Daphnia pulex: one gene and its partners. The protein of the gene in region 3 interacts with the protein of the main gene of each other region in a biochemical or structural test. Links are inferred from orthologs where the notes say so. Each region holds a gene or a part of one and is shown on either strand. Other genes may lie near its edges. The genes, in order: ubiquitin-conjugating enzyme E2 H-like, ubiquitin-conjugating enzyme E2 W-like and ubiquitin-like modifier-activating enzyme 1.

Evidence for each region.
Region 1: of the proteins of ubiquitin-like modifier-activating enzyme 1 (region 3) and ubiquitin-conjugating enzyme E2 H-like, one has a biochemical effect on the other in vitro, tested with the Homo sapiens proteins (3 studies listed by BioGRID, with this or other methods). The link is inferred for Daphnia pulex from reciprocal best matches to the Homo sapiens genes UBA1 and UBE2H.
Region 2: of the proteins of ubiquitin-like modifier-activating enzyme 1 (region 3) and ubiquitin-conjugating enzyme E2 W-like, one has a biochemical effect on the other in vitro, tested with the Homo sapiens proteins (5 studies listed by BioGRID, with this or other methods). The link is inferred for Daphnia pulex from reciprocal best matches to the Homo sapiens genes UBA1 and UBE2W.

The regions. Positions count from the first base shown.
Region 1 is NC_060019.1:1,501,394-1,504,762, reverse strand, and holds ubiquitin-conjugating enzyme E2 H-like, read left to right. Parts: upstream 1-882; 5' UTR 883-1,010; intron 1,011-1,091; 5' UTR 1,092-1,341; coding exon 1,342-1,394; intron 1,395-1,522; coding exon 1,523-1,599; intron 1,600-1,659; coding exon 1,660-1,827; intron 1,828-1,890; coding exon 1,891-2,018; intron 2,019-2,091; coding exon 2,092-2,226; 3' UTR 2,227-2,786; downstream 2,787-3,369. Other genes in the region: glycerate kinase-like, read right to left, coding at 1-154. UniProt on the Homo sapiens protein: Accepts ubiquitin from the E1 complex and catalyzes its covalent attachment to other proteins. E2 ubiquitin conjugating enzyme that transfers ubiquitin to MAEA, a core component of the CTLH E3 ubiquitin-protein ligase complex.
Region 2 is NC_060027.1:2,995,330-2,998,955, forward strand, and holds ubiquitin-conjugating enzyme E2 W-like, read right to left. Parts: upstream 2,690-3,626; 5' UTR 2,153-2,689; coding exon 2,105-2,152; intron 2,038-2,104; coding exon 1,946-2,037; intron 1,869-1,945; coding exon 1,766-1,868; intron 1,693-1,765; coding exon 1,641-1,692; intron 1,562-1,640; coding exon 1,458-1,561; intron 1,390-1,457; coding exon 1,314-1,389; intron 1,236-1,313; coding exon 1,222-1,235; 3' UTR 509-1,221; downstream 1-508. UniProt on the Homo sapiens protein: Accepts ubiquitin from the E1 complex and catalyzes its covalent attachment to other proteins.
Region 3 is NC_060018.1:5,971,805-5,974,068, reverse strand, and holds the end of ubiquitin-like modifier-activating enzyme 1, read left to right. Parts: coding exon 1-102; intron 103-158; coding exon 159-301; intron 302-373; coding exon 374-865; intron 866-931; coding exon 932-1,258; 3' UTR 1,259-1,643; downstream 1,644-2,264. Other genes in the region: uncharacterized protein LOC124207205, read left to right, coding at 2,034-2,264. UniProt on the Homo sapiens protein: Catalyzes the first step in ubiquitin conjugation to mark cellular proteins for degradation through the ubiquitin-proteasome system.

The DNA of each region.
Region 1 (3,369 bases), on a different chromosome or scaffold from region 3:
CATGGCAGTTGTTGTCAACTTCAATCTCCAATTCTTCCTTAATTGTAACTACATTTCCTAAACATCTGACTGCTTGATTTACAAGTTGACCAGGCTTCACGGCATCCACGGCAGCTTTGTAGATGAGTCTGATCTCATTCATGACGTTCACCATTCCCAGCCAACAATTCTTTCAAGTTAATGGCAATAAATGCTTAAAACGTGTAGCAAGCAAAAGCATTTTTTCACGAATCTTACGAGTTATTGTTGTGATTTGAACGTGTAATTCTTTATTTTTCCCCTACAGTTCGTTCGTCTGCTAATGACACGTTGAATTTGTTAAGGCAGACGAAATCAGCTGATGAGTTAATTTTAATTAGCCATCAATAAATTCGCTATCACGCAATACAATCAAGCTAAAACTTTGAGAGTAAAGCCATAGGAATCTTTGCTGTAAACATGCCTTCAGATAGCTCATTGTAACCATATCTTTTATGTAAATAAGCAATTGATACTGGGTCGGAAATGTAAACGTTGGACTCTCAGCCTGATCGTGATCACGTTCGACGACCTATTCAAACGATACAAATTCTCTCATTTTTAACCAGTTTTACTAGTCTATAGTGATTGGTCCTTTCTCCATTATACGACGGAGTTGTTTACGCGCAGAATCCTGACCTACATTTTCAATCCATCGTTTCAAAATACGCGCGCTACGGCCACACGACCAGGGCTGCGTTAAAAAACTAACACGAAACATGATTCTAAATGCATGAAAGTAATCGGAATAATCAAGGGAAAATATTAAACGTAATTTAGATTTGCAGAGTTATGCAACCACCTCCATTTTACTGCGATAAATAAAGGAGCGTAGGTTGCAAAACCCAATGTGGCGAGCCACAGCTGACTTGGTGGATTTTTTAGCCTTTCTGTCTTTGTTATGGTTATTCGTACAGTGCCAGTGGCGAAGGACAGGAGAGAGTGTGCTAAGCTCATCGTTTGTTTCATTTGCTCGCTGCGTAAATCTTTGGGTAGTACATAATTTCCAAGATTCTAAGCTTGTTTTTCTTCCGTTTTTAATCGACTGCATTTGTTGTTTTACTGTACAAAAGGCAATACCTTGAGAGACCAGTTTCCTCGTGCTGCTTATAAATAAAGGTGACGTCACACACAAGGCGAGAAGGGATTAGAATTTTTGGGACTAGCAGTCGGCCATTGTGTCCTCTCTTATTAGTTGTGGCGAAAATAATTTCACAAATCAATCGAGTCTAACCTGAAAAGAAGGGGACCTACTCTTATTTCGAGGGGGAAACCCAGACTGAAGTTTTCCGCGAGGTGGTCGATTTTGGAGTGCAAACAAAAATGTCCTCGCCCAGTGCTGGAAAACGTCGAATGGACACAGATGTCATTAAATTGTAAGTTATTATTTTAACAGAATCATATCTGGCCTTGAGTTTCACACATGTTTTGCTTCAAACTCTTTTGTTTGTGGATTATTGTTTTTGACAGTCTTTATTGTAATACCCGCTGTTTTTGTTTTCAGGATTGAAAGCAAATACGAGGTCACTATCCTTGGAGGACTTAATGAATTTGCTGTCAAGTTTTATGGTCCAAGAGGAAGTAAGTGATGAGAAATCATTCATGGTTGTTTTCAGGTCATTATTTCATTGAAAAATGTAGCACCGTATGAAGGAGGGATTTGGAAAGTCCGAGTTCACTTGCCAGAGCACTATCCGTTCAAATCACCATCTATTGGATTCATGAACAAGGTTTACCATCCAAACATTGACGAGGTCTCAGGAACAGTCTGTCTTGATGTCATCAACCAAGCTTGGACAGCTTTATATGGTATTTTGCATTAAATGTACTTAAATCTTTATGAATAATGAGACATTGTCTTTTCATCTGCAGATTTGTCCAATATCTTCGAGTCTTTTCTGCCACAGCTTCTCACATACCCAAATCCAATTGATCCACTGAATGGCGATGCAGCAGCCATGTATCTTCACAAACCCGAAGAGTACAAGAAAAAAGTGCAGGTACATTTTCAATGTCTGACATGTGTCAATCCGTATAGATCAATAGTAACACCTGACCTTTTCTATTGACAAGGACTATGTGAAAAAATTTGCAACTGAAGAGGCTTTAAGAGAGCAGGAAGCCCAAGAAGCCGCTCACCTGTCGTCAGATTCGGAATCTTCCATGTCGGACTTCAGTGAGGACGAAGCTCAGGACATGGAGTTATGAGACTTTTTCGTTGTTTTAACATGAAAAATTTCGTCGTTTATTACGTTTTCTCCCCCTCTTCTTCTATCTCTCATTGAAGTGGCTAACATTTTTTTTTCTTTTTTTCCATTCATTCATCGTTGAACGGAAGAAAGGTTTCATCGTACAAAATTTCATCCCGATAATGGGCTATATTATATTAATGATTGCGATAAATCACCCACCACCTCTGGCACCTCTCTCTCTCTCTCTTTGCTCGTTTGTTATGGAAACAAAACTTTGCATCCTAATTATTCTCGGGATGTTTCAAATCCTTTTGAAAAAATTTCTGTATTAGAAAAAAATAACAAAAATAATTGCCAAAACCAATTTTTTCCTCCCTCCGCTCTTTTCCCGATTTTTAAAAAGAAGCAGCAAAAATTTCATTTTCATTCAAAAAGTGGAGATGCCTTGGGCAGTCAGAGAATAAATGTTTTAGAGTGAGAGCCCCCCCTCTTTTTTCCATCACATAATTCATCTTTTTGTTTGACATCTTTCGTGTGGATTTAGCATCGCTCATCAACTCATTTTGATCTTCCCCCCCCAAAAAAAACACTTTTTAAAAAAGACAATAATATCAACGTATATGCGCGGCGTGTGTGTGTATTTGTGTGTCGAGATGTCAAAAGTATCGTAGCGGAGCTTCACAGGCTCGGTAGCAATTTGACAAGATGTTTAGGTTCTTTTTGTTTTGGTTCTCTCGTCACTTGACAGGAGAATCGAATAGATTTTTCTTTTCTTGTAGCTTAATTCGTACTTTTGTTTCACCTTTAACTATTTTTGACCGTGCGTTTATTAGAGAAGATTCGATTGTTTCTTTTTTTCACGAATGTAACAGCACCGCGGAATATGCGGACCACAAAAAATCGATTTTTTGTTTTAGTTGGAAATGAAACCAAGCGATTTTAAGAAATTTGTATGTCGGGATGGAATACTTGGTTTTTCAAAGAAAAATAAAATCTCTAAAAAAATAAATAAATAAATAATTCTTTGTCAATTTTTTGTTTGTTTGTTTCAAAGGTGACATTTTATAGTGCAACCTTAAAACCAAACAAATCTCTCAATCAAAAGAAAACTTTCACTTTGAATGATATCGGCCACAGGTGTTCCAACAAATGAACCCGA
Region 2 (3,626 bases), on a different chromosome or scaffold from region 3:
TTAATGAATTTTAAAAAATGCAGTTCGGATTTTTGTAATTATTATTTTTTAAAAAAGGATAAAATAGCTCGGCGGATTTGTTTCTTCTCAGTGTGTACACGTCCGACGGAATACCGTGCAGCGCTCAATCATTTTAGATTTCCTCCTTTCTGATTTTATTAATTGATTTAAAAAAAAAGAAAAAACGAAAAAAAAAAGTTAAATTGTTTTTTTTTTTTTAAACCTTTCCCTTTTTATTACCCAGGAGAATTTGTTTGTCAAAAAACCTTTCTTCCTCTCCTTTTCTTCAGCTCATATCCGCTATATATACACTCCTCATATGACTGGCTATTTTAACATTAACATGAGTCATGGTGTGTGTGTGTATAATACGATCATTAATTGACGAATGACATTTTTTTTCAAGTCGCCCACCTTAATTAATCTCTACGTTTACCCAAAAGTATGTTTTGTCACGCCCTTCATTGCTGTTGTTATAGCGGAGTCTTAAAAAAAAGCTGTCGGAAACGAACTTTAATCTCTTCTTCTATTTCTTTCGAAACAAAAACATCACACAAGACACACACACACACACATCAAAAAATGTTCTCGAAAAGGATAATAAAACAGAAAAAGTCGATTACAAAATTTGCGCCCTACTACCCTCTGATTTTGAAACCATTTCAGAAATATACAATTCATTATTTACTTGGCTAATTCAAATCGTTTAGTTTTTTTGTCTTCCAAACGTGAAATGAAAAAGAATTTGAGTATAATAGTTGAAACAAATTTTATACGAGCGAAATATTTTTCGTTTAACATTTAAAGAATGGGTGGGGGTAAGATAAAACACAGTAGAAGGGGGGAAAAAGGCTTCGTAGATTTGATGTCGATTAAAAGTCGAAAAATCAAACGCCAAAAGTGTGAAACATTACACATCTGTAGTTTTTCGTGAATATTGCTACAAGTCAAAAATTGGAGAGTATCAACCGCATATTAATCAAGACAGAGAGGAACTGTTTCGTTATGCGAGGAAGTAGTAGGTCAATATCGGGAATGGGAAATCAACGCGATCGATTCGGAAGGGTGGAAAATTTTGACAACTGAAAAAAGAAAATCCATTTTTGTTTTCTTTCGTATTTTTTTGGCGACTAGATTGTCTCTGACGCGAGCATCGCCAGCGTGAAACAGGTTCTTTTTCTTTTCGTAGCGGGAATCGAGGGGGAGAGATATCAACCCGTTTTACACTTCTTCGTCTGGCAAATTGGGAAATGATTTATGGTTAAAAAAGATTAATAATAACTCGGGTTTAGGCGGTAGCCATTCAAACTCACCGTGGTACCACCATTTGGTTTTCTTTGGGTTCTTGCTGCACGTTTTCACGTACATACTGTCATCCGGTGGTCTCTTCTAACGGGTCAATAGTCGTGAATGAGTGATGGGTGAGAAAGATACTTTTTCACACAATTGAAACTGACCTTTTCTTTACAAGAGCTGAGCATTGAGATAATGGAAACACAGACCGAAAAAATGGACAGAGCCGGTGACCAGTCATCGGTCAATATACTGAGGCAGATGTGGCCTGAATAACCGAAAAGGTTGGAGAAAAGAGCCGCGGTTAAATTATTGACCATCTTTTAAGGGTTTCACGCTAGACAGACCGTTGCTGTAGACGTGCGGATGGACAGGGATCTCCGATCCGACGAAAACAACCTAAAGAGAGTGGTCTCAAATGAGTAAAACATACGTGTTGGTTTTGGTCAATTCGTTGACTGAAAGGTGTTACCTCGGGCGAATCGAAAGGGTACTTTGGTCCGAAACGAAACTGTAACTGAAACTGCTCCCCTTCGTAAATCGTTCCTTGAGCTCCATTAATACTCAACACCAACCTGGAAGTGAGATTTGAAAAAAATAAAGTGAAAAAAGTGTGATGCACTTGTCCAACAAAATGTCAAGTCAATCTTACAAGTCCAGGCTCTGGCCCACAGATTCTCCATCGATCACAACACCAGGAGGAGGTTCCTTGATCAAGGAGACAAGCTCCTTTTGCAGCCTTTTCTGTAATATTAAAAAAAAATTGAGTTTTATTTAGATACTGATCTATTCGGCAACAATCAGGGTTAACCTCTTGTCTCTGAAGAACACACGATTGAGTCAGGGATTTGTCACTCATATTCGCAGTGGGCACCAATAATGTGAGACACAACCACCAGCAAGTAATGCGAAAACTATACTCACCGATCCAAGAACTAACTTGCCACTTATGTAGCTTTCTCCTTTTATAGAAAGGAAATGTCACCAGTTTGACAGTACGCTGCAGGGTTTCACTTCACGTGAACCGTGCAAAGCCACACCAGACATGTGCCAAACTGACATGTGCCAATAAGTCAGAACTCTCTTCTAGGGTTTCATTTTCTCAGGTGACTCAATTGGGAAGAATAAGGAAGCAGTTGGTTGAATCTGTGCCATAACCGATTAGCAAGCTTCAAGAACACACACCATCTCCAGAGCAGTATAGCTATTTTTACCGCTAAAAAGACTTCCGAAACCTCAAACCGAGTCAAGAATATTACTTAAAAGAAAAGTTTTACTAGCAAAATGTCAAGGACAAGTCCAAATAATGATGAGATTGAAGGACAAGCTGACATGGCAACCGAAGGTTCCTCGAGTTTCATTTTCTACCAACTACGACTAGATAATTGCAGGCGGCTCTTTAACGTTTCGCCATTCTGAATACGTTCACACTTATTAAACTGAAGCATTTTTTTATTTAATATTTACCTGAGCAGGAGAACATGTGAAACGCGAGTGATGTGATGACATGTTTTGTTTTCTTCCTCCAAAAACGTCTGGGTATTTCGCAGACGCAGTTGTGCGGAACGCTGTGAATTGCGGAAAGCAGATGCGGAAGTTGCGAGTTCAACGACCGTGGAAACTGCCTGTAATAAACATTTATCGTCGTTTATTTCTTTTTACGTCGCAAATAAGATTGCCCTTCATCTCTGATTCAGCGAGTTTCTTTCTTTTCCAGTTCACACGCAGACAAAAAACAAACGTCAATAAGTTGGGGGATTCCAACGTTCACTGAACTTTTGTGGTTCGTGAGCGGAAACAATAACTACGCAAACGGGCCAAGTTGCGTCTTCCTTAACCTCCTTTGTCGTGCAATGTCACTGCTAACTGTCTAATTTGTGTCCCGCGTCAGCTAATTGGGACTGGGTACTGTACATCTCCTATATAACCTTAAGGCAGAAAGTTATCGATTGATGACATATGGTATTATAACAAAACTGAGACGTTGATGTTTTTTTAAAAAGGTGGGAGCCCTTATCTTTTACAAGTGACAACAAAAGCGTAACGGTAGTATTGTTTTCAGTTGGAGATATTTATGGCAGTTGCGAATCCTTTAAGGACTAACAAGATATAGTGACAACAGCAGTGTCATATTGACGTAACACATTATGCAATAGGTGTGAGTGACGCAAGTCGAGCGAATCGACGTTGTTTGATCGATTCTTCATTGTCTCGGCGACAGTAGTGGGAAACAACGAAGTATCAACATTTTTTTTTATTTATTTCGCAAATTAATTAAATAATTTTCTCCAGGCGAGGCTCGAACTCGCGACCTCGGCATTACTTTCAATCTT
Region 3 (2,264 bases):
AGCAGTGTGTTCAATGGGCTCGCCTCCATTGGCAGGAACAATATCACAATCAGATCAAGCAATTATTGTTTAATTTTCCACCCGAGCAACTTACTTCTTCTGGTAAAATCTATTGATAAAGTGTAATTTACTTTGTATATAATTTTTTGTTTTGACAGGTCAACCGTTTTGGTCGGGACCTAAACGCTGTCCTCATCCATTGGAATTCGATATCACTAACCCCGTCCATTTGGATTATGTGGTTGCGGCTGCTAATCTAAAAGCTAAAATTTACAACATCCCACAGTCGCGCGATGTACAGGTGAGTTCACTTTTTTTAGTTAAAACATAATTTGATTTACAGTTGTTTTTATCCCCTCGGACTCGAATATAGGCTATTACTAAAATGGTGGAATCGTGTGTCGTACCGGAATTCGTACCACGTTCAGGAGTCAGAATTGCTGTTTCGGATGCGGAAGCTGCTGCTGCCGCCAACAACCCAGGCATGCTTGATGAAGACAGACTTACCCAGCTGCAGACGGAGTTGCCATCTGTGGACTCTCTGTCCGGCTTGCGCATTCTCCCCCTCGAATTTGAAAAGGATGACGACACCAACTTTCATATGGATTTCATCGTAGCCTCTTCTAACTTGCGGGCAGAGAATTATGATATCGCACCGGCCGATCGCCACAAGAGCAAACTTATTGCTGGAAAGATTATTCCAGCCATTGCTACTACTACCTCCGTCGTTTCAGGCTTGGTCTGCATCGAACTTTTGAAGTTGGTACAGGGTCATACCAATCCTGAGGCATTTAAGAACGGGTTTATCAACTTGGCTCTTCCGTTCTTTGGCTTTTCTGAACCAATCGCTGCTCCCAAGCAAACGGTATTGTTGGAAAATATTTTAATCGATTCGTTAACTAAAAAATTTTTTGTTTGTATTTGATTAAAGTATTACGACAAGGAATGGACCTTGTGGGATCGTTTTGAAGTGGAGGGTGAAAAGACGCTCCGGCAATTTATTGATTACTTCGAAAGCGAACACAAGCTGAAAATCACCATGCTTTCACAGGGTGTTTGCATGCTTTATTCGTTCTTTATGCCGCAAGCTAAACGAAGCGAACGTATGGATCTCCCCATGTCAGAGGTTGTCAAGCGTGTGTCGAAGAAGAGACTGGAGCCTCATGTCAAAGCACTCGTCTTCGAGTTATGCTGTAATAACCTTGAAGATGAAGACGTTGAAGTGCCCTACGTCCGTTACGTGCTCCCGACCGAATAAAACTATTTGATTACTCTACGTTGTGCGGCGGGTTGGGGGTTGGTTCATATTTGATTTCAAGGTTATTTACTACCATAATCATCAGTTCACTTGCGCTATATCCAATGTTGTGGACTATTAGCTTAGTTCGTTGCTTTCTTTAATTCTAAATAGAATTCTCTATGGAAGTTATGTTGACCTGGGTCATTTATAATCAATTCCAAGAGTTCTTTCTTCGTGCCAGTGAGTATTAAATGTTACCGATTGGATTAACAAAGGGCAAAAATCCTTACTCTACATGGCTGCAACTTTTTCAACAACCTCCCTTTCAACCCTTCCCCGTTTACCGATTGTACAACTGGCCTTGAATATTGGTATGAAGTTAATACATGCCGTCAAAATTAAATCCTATATAAAAATGTTTTTTTTTTTATCAAGTGCATTATCAACGTACTTAGCAAGTCTTTGACTTTGGTCGATTGATGATAAATCAATTGAGATAAATCAATGGCTGAAAGTTCGATTTATTCAATATTTATTCAATTAAAAATCTTCTTAATGATGTTACGGTATTGTCGTTTTATCGTAACAAAAATCAAAGTTTGCAATCGTCGTTTCGTAGGCAAAAATTTGTTAAAATAAAACATTAAATTATGACTTTGATTCTTGAAACTAGATGGCGTATCCCGCGACTGTTTAAATTTCCCGGTTTAAAAAAAATGGGGCTGGGATGATAAGAGTCGACTGCTCACTTGTTGTGTTAAAATCGTATAATATTCGCTAAACATTTAGTTCAATGGAAGTGGACGACAGCAAAAATTCATTCTTGTTACGAATCATCGACAATATGGCGAAGCAAGGCATGGCGAGTTTGTCTGGCGAGTCTGGGCCTCACGTCTCTCGTTACTTTCCTCGACCATCGGTGCCTACATCATCTAAAATCAATACTGAAAACCTACCAGTTGGTCTCATAAATTTAGGTTCCACTTGTTGGTTCAATGTTGCAGTTCAAATTTTATACCACATT